Drosophila melanogaster: one gene and its partners. The protein of the gene in region 4 interacts with the protein of the main gene of each other region in a biochemical or structural test. Each region holds a gene or a part of one and is shown on either strand. Other genes may lie near its edges.

The links.
Region 1: of the proteins of lwr (region 4) and Aos1, one has a biochemical effect on the other in vitro, tested with the Drosophila melanogaster proteins (one study listed by BioGRID).
Region 2: of the proteins of lwr (region 4) and dl, one has a biochemical effect on the other in vitro, tested with the Drosophila melanogaster proteins (one study listed by BioGRID).
Region 3: of the proteins of lwr (region 4) and Sumo, one has a biochemical effect on the other in vitro, tested with the Drosophila melanogaster proteins (2 studies listed by BioGRID).

The regions. Positions count from the first base shown.
Region 1 is NT_033777.3:12,430,853-12,436,027, forward strand, and holds Aos1 (activator of SUMO 1), read right to left. Parts: upstream 2,971-5,175; 5' UTR 2,880-2,970; coding exon 2,773-2,879; intron 2,706-2,772; coding exon 2,277-2,705; intron 2,221-2,276; coding exon 1,743-2,220; 3' UTR 1,681-1,742; downstream 1-1,680. Other genes in the region: CG5245 (uncharacterized protein), read left to right, coding at 1-323; Prosalpha2 (proteasome alpha2 subunit), read left to right, coding at 589-629, 732-808, 894-1,149, 1,215-1,370, 1,435-1,609; Srlp (Spliceosome-ribosome linker protein), read left to right, coding at 3,391-3,493, 3,565-4,350, 4,410-4,657.
Region 2 is NT_033779.5:17,446,874-17,452,945, reverse strand, and holds the start of dl (dorsal), read left to right. Parts: upstream 1-2,581; 5' UTR 2,582-3,070; intron 3,071-3,577; 5' UTR 3,578-3,650; intron 3,651-4,435; exon of another isoform or gene 4,436-4,668; intron 4,669-6,072. UniProt on the Drosophila melanogaster protein: Embryonic developmental transcription factor. The lateral or ventral identity of a cell depends upon the concentration of this protein in its nucleus during the blastoderm stage.
Region 3 is NT_033779.5:6,965,219-6,969,951, reverse strand, and holds Sumo (small ubiquitin like modifier), read left to right. Parts: upstream 1-2,307; 5' UTR 2,308-2,444; intron 2,445-2,566; 5' UTR 2,567-2,651; coding exon 2,652-2,924; 3' UTR 2,925-3,172; downstream 3,173-4,733. Other genes in the region: Coprox (coproporphyrinogen oxidase), read right to left, coding at 4,261-4,733.
Region 4 is NT_033779.5:538,655-544,354, forward strand, and holds lwr (lesswright), read right to left. Parts: upstream 3,927-5,700; 5' UTR 3,776-3,926; intron 3,726-3,775; exon of another isoform or gene 3,697-3,725; 5' UTR 3,594-3,696; coding exon 3,114-3,593; 3' UTR 3,055-3,113; exon of another isoform or gene 2,583-3,054; intron 2,515-2,582; 3' UTR 1,945-2,514; downstream 1-1,944. Other genes in the region: ush (u-shaped), read left to right, coding at 1-595, 656-798, 864-1,302; Spp (signal peptide peptidase), read right to left, coding at 4,587-4,695, 4,762-5,612, 5,679-5,700.

The DNA of each region.
Region 1 (5,175 bases), on a different chromosome or scaffold from region 4:
AGGAGTTTAAACTAAGCTCGCAACTGCTGGTGCACCTGCAAGAGCATACTGGAAAAAACCAATTCGAGTGTCCCCACTGCTCGAAGTCCTATACAACTAGCTCGACTCTTCACATGCATTTGCGAACGCACACGGGAGAATTGCCCTTCAAGTGTTCGCACTGCTCAAAATTGTTTGCGAGAAGCGCAGAACACCAGGAACACTTGCGAACGCATACGGGGGAAAAACCCTACAAGTGTTCACACTGCTCAACCCGATACACACAAAAGTCCAGTCTTGGGCGACACCTGCGGCGAACCCTATGCGGCACTAAATCGGATTAAAACCAATTAGTTTAGAATTAACTTAGAAATAATGTAATAAGAAGTAAAGTAGGCGAAAATAAATAAATGAGTTTAAATATTTTTTTAAGTTTAGAAATCGGTAGTGTGCCCATTTGTTTAGTCCCCCTGATCGACCTGTACCATATTTGGCATTCAGCATTCGGTCACACTGCCGCCCAATTGCTGTGTCATTTTTGTTTCTGTGCGAAATAAGTCGGCTTTTTCATTTTACACATCAAATCACTGCATTTGCGGCCCAGGAAATATGGCTACCGAACGATACAGCTTTTCGTTGACCACGTTCAGGTGAGAGCATCGCTATAGCCGGAGCGGAGCATTCGCTTCGCCCCGCGCAACACAAACTGCCGCCATGACTGGGCAATAAGTACAATTTTCTACCGTTTGCAGTCCTTCCGGAAAACTCGTCCAACTGGAGTATGCATTGGCGGCCGTATCTGGCGGAGCTCCCTCCGTGGGCATTATAGGTTAGCATGCCGCACAGCCAGTCAGCCTGTCAGCCAGTACTGTGCATTCAACTAACACACTATTATTTATTTTTCTTGGCTGTAGCTTCCAACGGCGTCGTCATTGCCACAGAGAACAAACACAAGTCACCGCTGTATGAGCAGCACAGTGTACATCGCGTGGAGATGATCTACAACCACATCGGCATGGTGTACTCGGGAATGGGTCCGGACTACCGCCTGCTGGTCAAGCAGGCCCGCAAGATCGCCCAGACGTACTACCTGACCTACAAGGAGCCGATTCCAGTGTCACAGCTGGTGCAGCGCGTGGCCACGCTCATGCAGGAGTACACTCAGTCCGGGTAAGTGTGCGCGCTTTTCTCGACTTTGGGTTCCCATAGATAATCGTATGCAATCCCACCAACAGTGGCGTTCGTCCCTTTGGCGTTTCCCTACTGATCTGCGGCTGGGACAATGATCGTCCGTATCTCTACCAATCCGATCCTTCGGGCGCCTACTTCGCCTGGAAGGCCACTGCCATGGGCAAGAACGCAGTGAACGGCAAAACTTTCCTGGAGAAGCGGTAAGTACCAATAATAGTACACCAATTAAAGTCGCAAGTCACTCATATTTTCATCAACCTGCAGCTACAGCGAAGATCTGGAGCTGGACGACGCTGTTCACACCGCCATCCTTACGCTGAAAGAAGGTTTTGAGGGAAAAATGACTGCCGACAACATTGAGATCGGAATCTGCGATCAGAACGGATTCCAGCGTCTGGACCCCGCCTCAATCAAGGACTACTTGGCCAGCATCCCCTAAACTTAAACGCCCCGCTAAGATTACCACAAGCTAAGCTTTCTTAATAAGTACGGGACATTAAAAAACCAATAAAATTTTACAACTGGTGTTATTTGATATTCAGATTTTTATAAATAAGCCCTTTGTGGTAAATTCACTTCGCTCCGATGGCCTCAACGTATCCGGCACAAGTCTCTGGGTCAAAAACGAACAGATTACGGTGTGGCGCCTCCAATTTAGTAACCACCTTGATGACCTCTTGTGCCACAACGCCGCCGACAACAGCGACCGCTGGCGAGATCTGTGCAAAAATCAGACCTAGAGCTTCGTCGCCCAGTATAGAGTTGGGCAGCAGTTCGTCGCGAATTCCGCGAAGCAATTCCAGGTCAGCTTCTCGGGTCTTGTAGCTGGGATCCCGCTTGTGGGTTGTGCGGAACTTTTGCAGGACACTTAATAGCAAAACACCCGGGCCATTGCGCTTCAATTTTCGCAAATAACTAGGCTCGGTAACATCGAAATCAAGCCAGGCAGAGTAGCCGGGATAATCCACATCACGCTGCGTTGGAATGGACACGGTTTCATACTTCTTTTTCTTCTCCGAATTGGCTACGACCTTGTGCTTAATAACATCCCTGGAAAAAAGGTGGACATTAAGTTAGCAATGGGCAATGGTAGGTAGGGAACCTACTCGACGTAGCTGTGCTTCTGCAGACTGGCAAAGTAGAACCCGAAGGTGCCCCACACATCGGTGGCTATGAACTTGACGCCCAGGTCCCGGCAAATGGTGTCAATGCGCAACAGTTCCTCGTTGGTCGCGCCATTGACCACCACAACGTCGAACTGACCGAAGAACTCAGAGGTCTTCTCCTTCAAGGGCTCGCGGTCGGCGGAGATGTCCACCATGGGATTGAGAGCACGTGCCCGTGTCAATGATGCTTCGGCCCGGTTGGTGTTCAGCGATTCACGGGGGACAAGGAATTGTGAACAAAAGTCCTCCTCGGTTACGTCCTTGTCATCCAGCAGCTTCACGGAGTTCACTCCGGACAGGATGATGTTCTTGGTTATCTCGGCGCCCAGGCCGCACAGTCCAGCGATGAGAATCTTGGCCGTGCGAAGGCTTAAATCGAAAATATATTTTAGCGCATTATAGCGCCATTGCGGAATGCCGGTTTTTTTGCACTCACCGTTTCTGAGATTCCAGACCCCAGAGTCGGATTTGTCTGTCGTACAGCTCGTTCTCCGCCTCAGTGAGCTCCACGGCTGTCTCGCTGGTGTCCATATCCACGACCATTATTTATTTATCAAGTTTAAAATGTATTTTTCACAACTTAATACAAATTTCTTGCAACAACTTTCAGTGAGACGCCGCAACAAGAAACTAACGCCTTTTGAAAATGCCAAAACGCCTTTTGCAGAATCAGTGCTGCCAACTGTTTTTGTACGTACAGAATAAAACTAAATAAAGCACTTAAAATCTAGCACTTATAATTATAATATTTATAATTTTCTATACTGTACTATACTATACTATATACTATTCTATAGTTTTTATAACATCCTAACAACAAATTGAGGTGAATTTATTTTGTAACTTACCGCCAAGCAAACCAAGCTTTAAAATAGCCAAGTTTAGCGGGAAAAAGCTAACACAATAGGATTGCCACAAAACGGTGGCAGCTCTGTAAGACAATTACTATCGAATTGTTTTTACGAAATCTGACCAATATTTAATTTTCCGGTAAGTCTTTAAGCTTGTTGCTCTCCATTGTGAAGAATAATTGATTGCCATTTTGGCTTAGATCATGCTTCGCAAATTTGGAGGTCTGTTGGCCCAGCAGGTGGGTCAGCAAGCACGTTTCACCGCCGCGAGTCGCACATTTTCCTCGACAAAAGCGCTGCACAAAGGTATGTAAGTCGGCGAAAAAGCCGGTGACATAATTTGGACTTATACTGTTGTAACCGTTCAATCGCTACAGATCCAGCGACCCAGGAAGCAGAGGCGGCGCCACCGAAGAACATCCTTGTGGAAAAGGATAAGAACATCACGCTGATCGGCATCAATCGACCGCAGCAGCGTAATGCCATCGATTCGCTTACTGCATCGCAGCTTTGCGACGCCTTCGCCAATTTCGAGGCGGACGACACGTCGCCGGTGGCCGTGCTGTACGGCGTGGGCGGCTCCTTTTGCTCCGGCTTCGACATCCTGGAGATTAGCACCGACGAGAAGGAGGAGATCAGCGTGGACATCCTGATGCGACCGGAGGGCTCCGTGGGTCCCACGCGTCGCCAGATCAAGAAGCCGGTCGTGTGCGGCATCAATGGCTACTGCATAGCCAACGGTCTGGAGCTGGCTCTCATGTGCGATCTGCGCGTGATGGAGGAGTCCGCAGTACTGGGATTTTTCAATCGACGCTTTGGAGTGCCAATGCTCGATGCCGGCACCATCCGGCTGCCGGCTATGATTGGATTGTCGCGTGCCCTGGACCTGATACTTACGGGACGTCCGGTGGGCTCCCAGGAGGCCCACGACATTGGACTGGTCAACAGGATTGTGCCCACAGGCACGGCCTTGGGCAATGCCCTGGAGCTGGCCACCTGTCTGGCCAAGTTCCCGCAACGCGCGCTCATCCACGATCGCAACTCGGTCTACTCGAGCACGTTCGAGACCTCAACGTTCCACCAGGCGGTGCAGAATGAGGTGATGTTCACGTCCCGTGAAATCATCGAGGACATGCAGAACGGCATCAAATGGTTCAACCAGAGTGAGTTTCTCCAGCGCCAGTGGCTGTACATTTTCTCAATCCCTTATATTCCCATGCAGCCTTCAAGCCGGACACCACGCATTCGTGGCTAAAGCGCGACCGCTCGATGGCCGACTGGGACGATGAGGAAGTGGCTGAGGCTGCAGCGCAGAAGGAAAAACTAAAACAGGAGCAGGAGGCTGCTCTGGCTGAGGCCGAAAAGCAAAAGCAGGCTGAAAAGGCGCAGAAAAGGTCGAAGAAGACCGAGGAAAGTGCGGCTGAAAGTGTCGATAGTAAAGATCCCAAGGATAAGCCAAACGAAAAGTAGTTGTGCCATATCCAAACAAAATTATCTGTTCCAAATCATTTAATTTAATTTTGTACATAACGCACCTATTACCAGTTTCAAACTGATCCATTCGACCTTTCTAACTTATTCAAATACATTTCCGTAAACGGATCAAATGTAAATGACTTTAATCTTATATTACATTGAAAATATGTAATGGAGTGGCTTACTTATTATTTTCTGAATTTGTTCTATATATTAATTATTCATAATCCCTCAAGATTTATGACTTTCAACTGCCGCTTAAAGTTATTTCACTAAAATGTACATAAAAAATGCATAAATTTCGGTTAAACAAATTTCTTTGTTCATCCCTTTACATACTAGTGTATGTGCAAGTATAACGACATCGTTATTCGTTCTTGGACCGATCCTAAGCGATTCCGACTCGGAACCACTTCGATATAAAGAATGTCTTATGAGTTTACAGGGACTTAGGTTAATCTAAAGCAAATATGATAATTTGATATAACATTGTTGCTACCAGAAATATTTCA
Region 2 (6,072 bases), about 17 Mb from region 4:
CGAATGGTTCTCAAGGATTTTCAGGTTGCCCTACTGTGTCGAAAGCAATACTGTCCTTGAAATACCCTTTCACTTATAAAATACCCTTATTCCTATTTAATTATTAAACTTAATTACTTGAAATTCTCTTATTCTCGTAAAATAAAATGTAAATAGCTTTTAATGGAGTATATGCACAGATTTCCTGGAACTGTGTCTTTATCAATCAATTTTTAATGAGGAAAAATATATTGTTTTATTAGCTTGTTATGTGTTTGTTTTTTTAATTATATAGATCTTGCACACACATCTATGTATGTACATACATATGTACATATAGACTTGTTGTGTACAATCATTTTTAAAGAATTATTTTTTACGTTGTTTTGTAAATCGCTGATGGCTCTTTTAAAATCGTCGATTTGCTTATGCAACTCATTGACTGAAATACCAGACGAACTGGCTGCCACAACTTGAGCAAGGACCTTGGGGCAGGGGCGTGGTTAGCTGTACACTGAAAGAAATTTTAGTGACTTAGCATGTAGCTATGGGGGTAAGTAGCAACTTCGCTCTTACCTTCACATTGAATGGGACACCGACAACATTGTTGGGTTAGTTGCCCCACCGCTGTCAAGGACACGTGCCACAGGAAGTTCAAAGAGTTTAAGGCGAAAGTCCGACAACCGGAAAAAATCAATAATGTCGTATACACGGGGTGCAAATGTACATATGTGTATGTACATGAAAATGACTGCCCCAGCACGTGTCAGCTTATAAGGGGGCAGGATCCATTAAAAATTACCTCGCGGGACTGGACGAATATCGCGTGATTTTCGTGGAAAACCCGCTGCAATTGGTTGCCGGCCTTGTGGGAGTGGGAGCTTCTCCATTCACCATTGTTTGATCGATGTCTGGACTCCATTAACCGGGTTGTTGTTCTACGTTCGTGCCATCAAGACATTGCGAGTTGACTTAGTCCCGCAATTCCCCCACTCCAATTCCACGGGCGGCGATGGCAATTGATGTGGAATTTCAATACTAACATTTGACATAATTCCTATTTATTTGCGCTTAGCTCACGTGCACTTATGTATGTATGTATGTTTACCAGGTGGCATGACCTTCGTGCCAGTGTGGTTTTGATAACGATTTACGATAATGGCGGAAAGTCCTTTTTTATGCATATGTACGTAGTATTGGGAAGAACTTAAGCATGTGGATTTTGTGTCACCGACCATCCAACTTTAATTAATATTATTTTTATTCTTATTTACTTATAAATTTTTCACAGTAATAAAATAGGAACATTTAGTACTTATTTGTAATTTTGTCATGAAATTATAAAAATACTACCTGGTTCTTTCGCATGTATTTCAAACTGATAATATTTCGTTTTCCAAATAATGTGACAATTATATTTTCTATTCATCGTTCATATTTAATAATTTGGTTTAATTAGCTGAAAAACCCAAAACATAAAAATCCTTATCTAACGTGCGACCACTTTTTAAGCGATGTATTCAATTATCAACTGTACTGACCCCCATTTCCCCAGAAGGTGAATCAGCAATATTATCAAATTCCGCGTAACAAGCCGTCTTGAATGTCAGAGGTCCTCCGCCCGGAAAGTGAAAGCTGCTCCGGAATGCTGAGCACGAAGCAAGTGAGTCACGGCATTGAGACTCTGCCGCAGTGGAAATTAATGCCACAACAAATGCCGGCGCAGGATATTATCCTTTTTCCAGGAATCGTACGCTGATTCAGACCCCCCAACCGCATGGGTGGGAGTGGGGTCTTAAATGGATAGCTCGCAGCCACACACACAGATAGTTAGTGCTCACCGTGCTGTTTCATTCATAAAAGCTGAAAAAGCTTTTCGGAGGCAGTCGCTCGTGGAGATGAGTCACATGTGAAAGACACTGAGATAAATGACGGAAGTTATTTTTTCCATTTATATTTTACTTTTCGTAAATATGCATATATAGTTGGAATATTCGGCTATTTAAACGAATCTCACATTGAAAATCGAATTCTTGATGATTGGTTACCATACAGTTGAATTCTCAATATTTAAGAAAAACAAAATATTTATATTTTCCGATTCCTTTGGGATGCTCCTAATAAAAAGATATGCATTTTCAATTAATTAGGTATTCCTTCAATATAATACGTGTTATAGATTTAAAAGGTGACACATTTTAAAAGCTTTTGAAAGAAACAACTGGCCTGCATTCCTACTAATCGGTATCAGTCAGATAAAAACATTTATATTATATGTATGTATATATTGTTTCGCCTTTATGCAATCATCGCGTATTCCTCGAAACTCGGATTTGTGGAAGATGTGGACATCTGTAAGCTATAAGTCGCAAGTGGAAAACTTCAATCGTACGTGACTCAGCACATGCTGATCTCGCACTCTTCGCCAAGCTAGGCTCTTCGGATTGTCTCTCTTCTGAGCTTAAGTCGAGACTGCAAAGAGCAGAGCTTGGGGCCGACTACTTAACTCCGTTGAAAGCTTCGCGATCTGCAAGTTTTGCGGTATTTTTCAGTGGCGCATACGGTATTGAAAGTTTGGCTCGCCTGTTTCTTCTTGGTGGGCAGTTAGTGTTCAAATCGCGGGCGTCGAGATCGGTTGGTAGTGCGTGTGTTACGGGTATTTTATCTCCACCTCCAAATTGTGCCTTATTTACCTTTTTCGCTGTGCTTTAAGCTTCCGCTCTCTTTCGCTCTTCTGGAGCTCGAAGGCAGGTTGAAATACCAGTAGATAAAAATAAAACGAAAAGTAAAAGAGCTGCATAAAAACGCATAAATTCAATTGAGCTCTAAGCAAGTTTCACTTGCTTTTTCGTATTACGAGTGACAAAAAAAAGAGACCCACCAATATAACGGAGGAAAAAACAAAAATAAAAAACTCGGCGCACGTATTGATAATTTCTATTAAAACTGAACGTTTACCGATTAGATTACACGGCACATCGACACTTTAACCACAAACATCGCAAGAATAACCAAAGAAAATGGAGGGCAGAGCGCGATAACAAATTACCCTAAATTATAAATCGAATAAATCGAAAAACAAAAACAAAAGGTAGTCGTACGTCGATGATCGCATAAGCATAAAGCCCGGAATTCCCTAGAAAAAATCGACGTCACGCGCTCTCTCGCGCTCTTTGCCCACTCTCTCTTTCTTCGGACTTCGATTTCTTAACTTTTCATTAGTTTCTGTTCGAACTGTTCTCCCCCATCCGTTGTTTTTGTCGTTATTATCGATATTATCGCACCCGCTTTGTGCGCGCGCAAAAGTTAAAAAAGAATAAAATAAGAAGAATCAGAAAGAGAGAGAGAGAGAGAGTGAGTGAGAAAGGGAGGGAAGAATAAATTATTTATATATAAAAAATAATAAATAAACCGGTTCCTGCCGTGCGTGCTTGTGTATGTGTTAACATTAACATGAAAAAAGCGCCATATTTCTCAACTATAAATAAATGGCTTATTTAGCTCGCTGTGCAACGGACTAATTTTCCAATTAACACAATAAGAAACTTAACAAATAATGTACATAAAAGTGTACTAATTGGTTCGCGTTGAATTTCAGGTGTCCGATTTACTTAGCAAACCCAGTGATATCAATGCATATAAGCGAGATTTCAGATCACTCCTTGACTTAGGTGAGTCCCCCTATAGAGCCTAGCTTAATTTATTGATTCTGAACATTGATTGCACGGATTAATAAAGTGCGGTGGAAAATCCTAATGGCTGCGTTTTGCGAGAAGGGTCTTGATATTTTAATAAATATGTACACAACTATTGCTTCCAAAGACGCAAAATGTCATTACAAAGAAACGCATCTTGCATTAAACATATTAAAAATATAACCTTATTGAGTCATTGGACGCCTTATCGTTTCGGAACAATGTTTACAGCAACAACATCGTGATTTATCAACCATTATTCACACTTTTAAGGTTTGATAAACCAAGACTGGTCACTTTTCTCGCATATTAATATTTTTCATCCTAAATAGTTTTAACATTTTGACAATGTTTAAAATTCCTGGATGCTAAGATTTGTAATAGCTCACAATTTCTGCATGACAAATAATAGTTAAGATGTTAAAAAAAAACTATTAGAACGTATTCAATCCTTTGTAGTGTAACCGCAGTTGTTGTTGTTGTGTTTTTTGGGTGGCAATTATCCACCTGCGTATTAAATAATCTACGGTGAATGCAAACGATAAACTTAAATAATACAACCGAAACACCTGTGTACATGGCAGCGCAGTCGCAGTGGCTTTTCGACGTCGCCATAAATGAAAGTTTCTTACGGGCACGTGGGTGGGCGAGGGGGGCCGTGGGGCCCAGAGGGGGTGGGGCTCGTGGAAAAGCTTTTGCCCCTTGTATTTATTTATTTTTTGCTGCCACTCAAATACGCCGGAGAGGTTTTCAATTGTTTCATTCTAAGATCGACTCGATGCGCCTGCGGTCGTGTTTGCGCTAACATTCTTTTATTTTTATTAAATATTTTTAAAATTCCCTAACGGTTCGATATTATTTTTAAGTAATAATTTGAAAAGTACCATTTTGAAAGAACAAACTGCGGTTAGTGTGCGTTTTGTGGCCCAAATAAAAGCAAAAAGTGAAACCGAATTCGTCATGAGTGTTCACTGGTTCTTGGTTTGATTCGCAGGTAATTATGAAGAATGAAGAAATGCTTTTAGCTGCTAATACGGTGTAAACTCGAAAAGTGCAACCAAGTTAAATGCAAACCGTGTGCTGACTCATAACATCAGACTCTCGTCTCCGGGACCAAAGAAAATCAAAGCGCTAAAATCGCTCAACTCGTTTCCAGCAAGTCATCGGCGATTTACAAAGCTCGAGTAGAGATTTGTGTGCTAACAGAGATCTAAGGCCAAGTCAATAGATAATATTGGTTATATCTACTGGTAGTTTCCCCGTATGCTAAATCCGAGTCATGATTGATACACGATCTGGCTGTGGGTAAGGCCCTCCGCTATGCAAATCATCAATCAATAGGGATTCTATTTTAGGCGAATATCATTTAAACCACTCGATAAGAAAGATCGTGGCCGTTATAATTGGAGATACGGATAAGATATGTATCTGCATTTTTGCCGGAAGTCACATGTGCACAATAATCCCTGATCGGCTAATTTAACAAACATTGTTTGGTGTGGAAAATAAGGATAATGGACTTGTATTCATACGATACAAAACATAGCTTTTGGCAACTAGTTCCATCGATTTGTCAGCATATCGGTTATTTATTTTTATTTGAGCTGTAAATTGCTTGACGCCAACGATCGTTAAAAAACATTTGTCTGTCTGGAGTTCTTGTTTTTTTTTTTTTTGCGGAACCCGTTTCACTGAGGAATTTTTGGCTGCTTCTGATGCTTTGATGTTGATCTTAATCTTAATTTGTGGTGCTGGCGCCAAAAGAACTTTTTTCTGTGTGTCTTTGCTATTGGAAATTGCATAAAATTAGCATGTTAAATGATCGAAACGAAATGTTCATTTTATTTTGTTTACTTACCTTTTTTTTTTATTTTTCGCCAAAAGTAGTTATCGTTGAACGAGTAGAACGTTATTTTATTAATTCATTTTATGGCTTAACAGCATAGACTTTTTTCTTTTGAATTTATCGTGTGGATTTTTGCAAGACATGGTGAAAATTAATAGCTAATCAAATAAATTATTTATTGTTTTGAGCAAACGAAGGGCAAAACCATAGGAAATTCCAATATAACTCCCCTGCAAAACACTTAAACCAAAAACCATCTATCGATACATTCTCAGGCCATCGTCATTTAGATTTATTTTTATATTCTTATCTTACTTTTGGTTATCTTTGAGTTTTTTTTTCGGATTTTCTACGCTCAACACCTGAGCGTTATCAGTCTGAATGCCGCAGGTTCTATCTGACGGGAATAAACGGTGGCAAATTTGTGTGGTTGCAAATGGTTCTAATCTCAATATAGCTGCGGATGAAACCATCGTAAATAGTGTATTGCAATTAAATTCGGTGGCAGTATAATTCTTGTTAGCCTTTGAATGACATATTAAATTGGTTAAT
Region 3 (4,733 bases), 6.4 Mb from region 4:
TAGAACAAGATTATAGAAAACCCGACCGCTAAACGCAGAATCCGCTAATGTGTGCGTAGCTTAAATCACTTAAATTTATAAGTAACTCTTAACAAATGAATATGAAAACAGTAAGTAAAATAAAGCTAGCCCTCATGTGTTTGTTTCCCCACCTTTGGTAAGGGGGTTAAAGGGAATACGGAGAGTCAGGAGCTGGAACGCTTTCGGTGGCGCATACACCGTACTATATGGTTACTCCATCCCATGGTGGTTCCTGGGATTTTCTAACTCACCTAACATAATAAGCTGAACAATACAAACCCTTGCACTAACTCGTGCCTTTTATTTTCTCTGTTTTTTTGCAGTTTTCAATCAATTGAAAATCTGACTCTGACTAGTGTGAAAGCAAAAGCATAAGTATTTAATCAAACAAACAGTAATCCAAAAACGAAAATTAGTTCCGCCAGTATTCGTAGCCCATGCCCAAGTCTAAATTCCAAGCCCACATCAGGTAATTTGGTCTACGCACAAACCTCACTAATCCATGCGTCTACCGTTCTAGGACAGCTCTAGAATCAAGACAGCTACCGCAATACTTTTCCAATCTCCTCCGCTCTAGGTTGCCTGTGTTGTGTGGTGGTGTGGCGTGTAAGTTGATTCCGGGCTAAGAAATTTTGTAAACCAAAACCTTTTCCGTAAGTTTGCCCCGGTAAGATTACGATATCCTCGCCTAACCGCCGTGGATCGGATGGATGAGTGAGTTAGTGTAAGGGAGCTTTCCTCTGTTTGGTACACATTGCGAACTGCTCCGATGGCCTGTGGCAATCTACTCCATTCATCCATTATGTCTGTAACCAATTTACCATTTCGATCTTTTCATGTACGTTGAGCTGATTGTTATCGTACTGAAGACGAATCCGCGGCGGAAACTCGCATAGAACAAACAGAAAACTGCGCAAAGGTTTGCTTTTGGTAACTGGTAACGATTGGTTGTGGTTGGTCAGGTCAGGGGTCTTTCGAGCTGGTTAGCCTCCACTTTGGATTGCGGACGGTGACAAAATTCTGGGGGTCTTTTATTTTTGTATTGTATTGTTTGGCAGACAGGATCCATGCAATTGCCTTTTCGTACCGTGCGACATACGGGAAACAAACTATTGTGTAGCAGGGCATTTTTCCTATTACACCATTATTAAGAAAAGCGGACAGAGATCAATGTCACATTTAGATTTGATCAAATAAAGAAAAGAATTCCTCCTTACACGAAAAAGTACTTGTTTCATTTCTAAGTATTTATCAAGATGACTTGAATTTTTTACAATTTTCGCTTGTTAAACTGGTCTATATGTCCTGGATAAGAAGATTTGCAGTGGCGTCCTTGGAATCTCTTTAAAAATGTATACATTTGTTGCAAATAAAGCATTGTGAAATCTATGGACATTAAATGCGACCTCTATTGGAAAACATTCACATATGTCGCAAATTATTATAAGCGGATATGATAGAAAATGTTAAAGTAAAAGGGACTAATTTCAAGGATGAAACATTGAATATCAATAGCAAGCATTTTTCATTCCAACCCGATAAGTACCTATGTACCCAGTTATATTACGAGTAATGGGTATCAGCTGATCGCTACCTTTGCTTCTAAAATGGCATACTGCGTATATCAATAGGCGACATATCGATATAATTGACTGCTATCTCAGCAACATAAAGAAACTGGAATATTCTAACTGTATTTTGCATGCGAATATAAACTTTAGCCGTAATCTTGTCGAATGCTACAAAAAACTACCCAGTAACTTATTATTCTGCCTTTCTTTAATTCGATTCCCTTTGCCATTGAGTACCCGATAGTTAAATATTTGTATGCTGCCCTGCGTACACTGGCCTACAAGCAACTCGAAAAATTCAATTATGTTCGCCGATAGTTAAATAATTTGATGTGGCCCTGCTCACATTGGCTAACAAGTAATGTGAATTAATTATGGGTATAGATATTGCTTGAATTGCAATTCTCATATCACTTTTTTTTTAATTTTCCGTAATATTCATCTTTACGAACCATCCCAATACTTATGCTTCTATTTAAATATTAACATTCATATTTATATTAAACATATATATTGACTCTCTAATATGCTTTAAATGCTATTTAAATCGATTGCGTGCTTAGCATTACATTTTTTAGTCCAATTGTTTGAATATTTTTTCTTTTCGGCATATATCAAAATTACTTGTTAGGAAAAACGTGACCGAAAACCGAAACAGTGACAATAATGGATGGTTGCTGGCGAATCTATCGACTACCTATCGTGTATCGATACACACCGATAGTATCGCAAAAGTTAACGAGGTAGGTCCAGCACCAGTTTTTTTGGCGTGTAGCTGTAGCAGAAGCAAAAGGAAGCCGCTTGTGATAAATTTCAACTTCCATCAGCAAGCACTGAATTTGAGGAAATCAGGTAAATTTTTGCATTTCTACGCGATTAGTTGCTGCCCCGCGGTATTGTGCTTAGTTTTTACGTGTGGTTTACCAATTTCCGCGTACTTAATTGGACATTTTGCCTCGTTTTTTTTCGTACAGCACGCCCGGCATTCGACGCTCCGCAAAAGAAAAAAAAAACTTTTTTGACCACTTAGCAGCTTCAACAAGCAACCAAAAAATCAACATGTCTGACGAAAAGAAGGGAGGTGAGACCGAGCACATCAACCTGAAGGTCCTCGGCCAGGACAACGCCGTCGTCCAGTTCAAGATCAAGAAGCACACACCCTTGAGGAAGCTGATGAACGCCTACTGCGACCGTGCCGGACTCTCCATGCAGGTGGTGCGCTTCCGTTTCGACGGACAGCCCATCAACGAGAACGACACTCCGACCTCGCTGGAGATGGAGGAGGGCGACACCATCGAGGTTTACCAGCAGCAGACTGGTGGCGCTCCATAAGATTACTTAGTTAAGTTAGTTACTCCTCTTACAACTACACACTTAAAACGAAAAAGAAAAAAATACAAGAAAAACCACAAAAGCAAAAACACAACAACAACAACATGAAGAATCCAACAAACCAGGCCCTAAGAATCGATTGAATATGCTTTTAGTACAACTGTAGATTCTAAATGCGTCTGTGTGCGTAAATAACAAAAACATTTGCAGACAAGAAAATGGTAAATAAAGCATTTTATAAACTACACAAAATTTGCCGTCTTTCGCTATTTATTCCTGCGCCTGATCGGCGTTTGTTTTTGCCCTTCTGCAACGAAAAGCCGGTGCGAATTTCCCGCTTTGTGACCCTCTTTCTAAACAGCACGCACACACACTGTCATTGGCATGGCACGTCTGTGTGCGAGCAGGACTGGGTCCAGTGCGCGTGTGTGCGTGCAAATTGATATACATACACATCGGAGAACACTGAATTTGCGGGAAAAGTACAAGCATACATATACGCCTGCGAATTTGCGAAGTCTGGGAAAACATAACCTCAAATTTGAACAAGAAAAAAAAATGACGTCAGTTTTGAGAACCTTCTGGAAATTACATAGAGGTAACTATAACCTCAAAATTGGGATCTAGTAATACGCTTGTGTGTTTGTGAAAGCCAAGCCATACATGATGATTGTGTATGTATACCATGTATACATACATACCATTCATGATGTATGTGCGTATGTGCTTAAATTTTCAAAGGTACAGTTGTGTAAAAAAAAACTATGATGAAAAATTAAAAAGTAGATATGTACGTATGCATACATGAAGTCATGTCGACAGGTCCTGTTATATTAGACCGGCTGTATATGTATATGTATATGTGTTCATTTTTAATATTGGTATTGGGTAAAAATTTCCGAAATTTTTCTTATAGATTTTTTGCTGTCTCACCATGACTCAGCACCATACATATATACTTTATATTGTAAAACATTTATTTTCCAGGCCCTTTAATTATGTATTGAGAAGCAAAGTAATGAGTCAAAGTCGAAGTCTATTGAGTTTGTTCATACTTTGTTGCATTTCATAGATGAATTTCATAACTCGTAATAAAATTAAAATTCATTAACATTATGTATTTAATTTTACTTGTTGAGTCCAATTTATAGTATTATTTGCCAATGTATACTGTATGTTGAATGGAATAAACTAGTTTTTCAAATATGGATAAATAGTTAGGAAACAATAACATTTTGTCATGTTTATTTGCAACAACAATTACAATATGTACACATTAAGTTTTAAATATAATGCAAAAGGCACCGGTTCCCTCTTAAGAACAATTAAAAATAGCTTAGACCCAATCCTTGGGGTTCTTCAGGACCTTCATCAGTTTGCCCTCCTCGGACTGGGACTTGGGCTCGTGCATGTACTCCCAGCGGGCGTGCAGGGGCAGGGACATCAGGATGCTCTCGTACCGGGCTCCAGGCGTGTATAGACCGAACTTGGTGCCACGATCGTAGATCAAATTGAACTCCACGTAGCGCCCGCGGCGCAGCAATTGCCACTGTCGTTCGTTGTTGCCATACTCCCGATTTTTGTGCTTTCGTACCAGCGGCACGTAGGAGGGAATCACGGCCCTGGCGCAGCTTGACACAAAGTTGAAGGCCGCCTCCTGGTTGGGCGAATCGATGTCGTCGAAAAAGATTCCGCCAATGCCGCGGCTCTCGTTGCGATGCTTGATGCGGAAGTAGTCGTCGCACCACTTCTTAAAGCGCGGGTAGTAGGTGGGATCGTGCTCATCGCAGGCGGACTTCAGCGTCTGGT
Region 4 (5,700 bases):
CGCCTGCGGAATTAAGTACACTTCCCTGGACAACCTGCGAGCCCATCAGAACTACTATTGCCCCAAGGGAGGAGCAGTTGCTGCCCCTGCCGCGACGCCCACGGATCCTGGCCAACTGGGCATGCCAAAGGAGAAGTGCGGAAAGTGCAAGACATTGCATGAAATTGGTCTGCCTTGTCCACCACCCGTTGCGAATCCTCTCGCAGCGCCGACAGTCAATCCGCAACCCGCCACCAATAGTCTGAACAAGTGTCCTGTTTGCGGGGTAGTGAGTCCCACAGCAGCACTGGCCAAGAAACACATGGAGATGCACGGAACAGTAAAGGCATACCGCTGCAGCATCTGCCAGTACAAGGGGAACACTCTTCGCGGCATGCGCACCCACATTCGAACCCATTTCGACAAGAAGACTAGCGACGTAAACGAGGAGCTATACATGACCTGCATCTTTGAAGAGGATGCTAGCGCGCTGAGTCAGGAACTGGTTACTCCAACAGGGGCATCTACCACAACTGGACACGATTCCATGGATCATCCCTCGCAGATGTTCAACTGTGATTACTGCAACTATGTCTCCACCTACAAGGGCAATGTGGTGCGTACTCCTTTTTATTGCTGCCAGACCAAAGAACTCACTATAGCTTTTTCCTTACAGCTGCGCCACATGAAGCTGATGCATCCCCATGTGGCCATCAACTCTCCCTCCATTTCCCCCGACACCAGAGATCAAGATGTGACTTCCAACCCCACTACCAACCAACACTCGAATTCCGATGTATCCAACGGTGAAGCACCCAGGTAAGGATGACAGGAAATTATCTACATTCTTATTACTATATCTTCTCTAACTTCCTCGTCCACAGTTTCCACATTAAATCGGAGCCTCTGGATCCACCACCGACTGTGAATCTGGTGCACGAGAACAACAACTCCCCGATCGCCACGCCACATATTAAGGCTGAGCCAATCGAAGTCGGAGCGGATGCTGCGCCCGGCGGGCTGGTTCCGCCGATGACTTCTCCGCTGGGAAACAGCAGCAGCGTGGCTGCCGCAGCAGCTGCCGCCGCCGAGGTGATGAAGAAGTACTGCTCAACCTGTGACATATCCTTCAATTACGTGAAGACCTACCTGGCTCACAAGCAGTTCTACTGCAAAAACAAGCCCATTCGCCCCGAGGCCAGCGACAGCCCCAGTCCGAATCACCTGGGCGGAGGCGTTGCCGTGGGCCTGGGCATTGGCGGCCTGGTCGGCGGACACGGCCAGCAGAAGAACAAGGAAAACCTGCAGGAGGCGGCCATTTGAGAAAGCCAGCTGCGGTGGGAGGCGCAGCGCAAGCAGCTTGAGTGGTATTACACGTGCTTCTAAGCAGCAGCCCAACCCAATCGAAACTAATCGAATCCTAGCCTCCTTTAAAAATGTACACTATCCAAACCGCAACCAACCATCGACGACAGTATTCCCGGAAAATCTCCCGTCGCTGCCCTCCACTTCCAACTCCATTTGGGGACTGACTCCTTCGACTTACCGATCGATAGAAGTAGATATATACATCGTACTCCCGTACATATACAGTACACCTAAAGGAATAACACATAGATACTTAGGTACATTAATTTAGGCGCATACCCATTAAGTGGGAACCATGACATATAATGCATGCCAAAGCTTACCACTTAGACAGAAATTAAATTGAGGGCGAGAAACTACAAGTTTGCAATGGTCTGCGGAGTAGAAGGAGGCGAAGTATTCCAATGTAGATCCAATACTATAATGTAAATTACTCGCTGTTCCCCATAAAGCGAGCAATTCTAACTGTGTAATTTAAATGAGTACATTATTTATTAAGTGTGTGCGACAATAAAAGTAATTAATTTATTCAATATAAAATATAGTGAAATTAGTAACTAAACGACATTTTACATTTTTGAATTCAACGAACGATTTGAGTGCTGCCAGATTAGCGAAAAATGTTATGACGACATAGTTGCCAGATTGATTAAAATATTGTCAAACATCGGACATATTACCGGATCAATAGAAAAATATTGTGGCATCCCTAATAAAAGAACCGTTAGATTAGACCAGGCATCAGATAGATCAGCTGATCGTTGGTAGCCTACTAGAAGTTCTGTTCGCCTGGTACTCAGAATAGAGCATGCCCACCAAAACCAAGACTTTGGGAATCCTGGCGGTTGTTTTAAAAACACCTTTCCACGCTTATGCTTCCCTGGTAATTCAGTTCGAAATATATGAGCATCCTCGGGAAAAATAATAAATTCAGCTGTCAGTATGCCGGATTCCCCAGACTGAAGTACCAGGCGAACACAAATCTCAGTAGGTGTTTTAACTGGGCATTTTTCAATATGGCGGCCTCGTTGGAAATGAACCGTTAGCTGGAAGCATTGCTATATCAGCAGCGAATGCTACCAGATCAGCCAAAAATTATGCATAGTAATGTTGGCGGACTTGCCAGATCAGCTGAAATAGTTGGGAAATGTGACCAGCTTCAAATGCCTAAAAATCAAATAAAATATAAAGGTAAAAATGGACTGAACAAGTTTTTAAATAAAATGCTTAAATTTAAAAATAGTCATGTTACTTAAATAATAAGCAAAAGGAAGAACTTTATATGGAATAATTCAAGCACTAAATCCAGCTGTACGGCTACTGACGACCAACAAGTGCTCGACTGCACATTTGCTGGGAAATCCTTTCCGCTTTAAAATGCATAAGCTTTTACAACTAATAAATTTTTATTGAAATTACATAGGTTTGTACGTAGTACTCGCGATACAAAATAGCCCGTAGAATAATCGGCACCTGCACCCAGAATGGAAGCTGAAAAGAGCGTCGAATTCTGGGTGCCACGTGGCCACTTTGGGCCTCATCGAAAAATTACAGGACTTATTTGTATTTATTCAGATGGTACATGCTGGTAATTAAGCAAGTGCAGAACATTAAAAAATTAGATGCTTCGGGCCGCGGGGGCTATCCAAAATTAGTCGATTCTTTAAAAGTAAGTAGACGTGGAGAGCATTCCAAACAAACGCTTACCGGCTAGATGTGTGTATTTGTTAATGTCTATGTGGTAAAGGTGGTTGGCAGGAGCCCGACTACTCAGTGGCCGCCATGGCGCGGGCCTGGGCACGCACGCGCTTCTCGTACTCCAGTCGGTTCTGGCAGTAGATGGTGTAGGCCTCCGCCTGGGCTGGGTCCTTGATGTTCGGCTCGTTGAGCAGGTCCTGGATGCCCAGCAGGATTTGCTTGATGGTGATGGCGGGGCGCCAGTCCTTCTCCTCGTCCAGCAGCGACAGGCAAACAGTGCCCGAGGGATAGACGTTCGGGTGGAACAGCGGCGGTTCGAACTTGCACTTGGGCGGCGAGGTGGGGTAGTCGTCCTTGAAGATCATGCGCAGCTTGTAGAGCCCGCCCTCCCAGGGGGTGGACTTCTTGCCGGGAATGGCGCACTCCCAGATCATCAGGTTGAGGGTGCCGTCAGGGTTCTTGGCGGGTCGTGCGACGAACCCGAATGGGTGATCCTTGCGCCAGGCCTTGCGCTCCTCCCCCAATCGTGTAATAGCAATGCCGGACATGGTCGTCGCTGCTTGCTCGCTTCTCTACTGCCGCCCGAACGTGTCCTCGAGTCCTGGATTTCCGCTAGCAGTCCCACTTGGCCTTTTTTGCACGCGCGTCTGTCTGCGAATGTGTGTGTGTGGGTAAGTGGCCTACGAGGGGCTTTGTCGCCTTTTGGCGCGCTAAGTGCAAGAGCACCTACCTCTCTGTTCGTCCTTGCGTCTCCAGTGGTTCCAAGCAAATTAATTATTTGCAATCGCGGGGGGAACTCGCGCTTTTCGCAATTTTTACCGCAATTTTTCAGGAATGAACGCTTGTGCTCGCTAAAGGTATAAGTTTTTCTACACAAAGGGTCTCACTATGCGGTTATCGATATTTAGTGTGGCCGTGGATAAACAGTGGTATTAAAATACTGACTTTTTCAAAGCACTTTTGTATTATGTTTTAAATTTAAAAATTCTTTGGATTTTGGTAAGCTCAACTTAAAATGTATTAGGTTTTTCTCTTAAGCCGTTACATTCCTAAAAACCCTCTACTCAATACAAAACTAGTTTAATTAAACGTTAGAATTAAAATTTATTCGCATTACTGTTTACACAAATTACTGCATTAGTTTTAAGAAATGCAATGTAGAATTCGTAGTCAAAATTGCACTGTTTACAAAAATTGGAATATATTTGTATCTAAACTGTTCTTAAACATATAAGCCTCCTGTGCGGAGCCACAGAAATATTTGAAATACATATTTAAATTGATTGCGGTAAAAAAGTCGAGGGAACATTTTCTACAATTGTAACCTAACCGAACTAAATAAGATTGTTGTGCCTGGCCAAGGAACGTACATAACTAACTCAGTAAGTGAATCGTCTTTTGTAGCGGTGTTAGTCCATATGAGCTATGGACTGCGGTAGATGGAGAAGCCATATCGAAACGAAAGGGAGCTTGGCTAGCTGCAGAAGACATTTACGATGGAACGAGTGGGGATGTTGTTCGGATGTTGCGTCCTCCCGGCTCTACTTGCCCTTTTTCGACTCCTTCTTTTTGCTGCCGGACGAGCTGACGCCCTCGTCCTTCTCCTTCTTCTCCTTCTTTTCGGGCTTCTCCTCGGGATGATCTTCATAGCTGCAGTGGGGGCGAGAATGAGTTAGTTTAGTTTCAAGTCGAGCGCCCAGCGCAGTCCACACTTACGCAAAGAGCACCTTCAGCTCGCCGCGGATGAGGGCCACCAGGAGGGGCGTGCCCATGCAGGCTGGCACCAGGTAGAGCAGAGCCGGCTGCGCATGCTTGAACACATGCATCACGAAGATGGTGGCCAGCAGGCCAAGGAAGTAGGCAATCAGCGTGGAGTAGAAGTAGATGCGCGTCTTGCGCTTCTTGCTGTCGTCGAAGCGCAGCAGCAGAGCGATGAAGATGCCCGGAATAACGATGTCGCCTAGTCCCAGCATTGCGAAGTTCGAGGCGTTCAGGCCGTTCTCGATCAGGTCCTGGGGGAACACTAGCTTGATGGGCGCCTCGAAGCTCTTGGCCACGGTGACCATCACGTTGGTGCCGAATACCCAGAAGATGTCGTAGAAGAACAGGCCGCTCAGCAAGATGACGCCCGTGACGAAGTTGTTCAGGTGCAGCATCTCCACGCCGTTGATGGCGAAGGCCAGACCGAACAGATTGTTGGCGATCCAGTGCTTCTTGAGCAGGTACCACACTCCGATCGCCGAGGAGATCACCAGGCAGACAATGTCGTGCGTGGAGAACTTGTAGTTAACGATGTCTTCCTTGTGCTTGCCCTCCCCCTTAGTGAACAGGATGTGGAAGGGCACCTTCGGCACGGCGGCGGGCATCAGCGAGTTGATCACCGGACTGAGCAGGTGCGCCAGAGCAATAACTCCCAGCACGAAGAAGTAGCCGGTGAGCAGGTAGTTGATGTGCACCTTCTGGAAGATCTTGAAGAACAGGTACAGCCCGAAGAGGGCTGCCGACGCGATCAGCGGGAAGTACATGGCGTCTTTCTTGGTCATCGTGTCCGCCTTCTCGCCCGTTGACTGCAGGGAGTGGGAATTACGGGAAACATGTTAATGCAGCTTCCGGGCTGAGTCTGCTTCACATACCTTCTTCAGCTTGTGCAGCTTC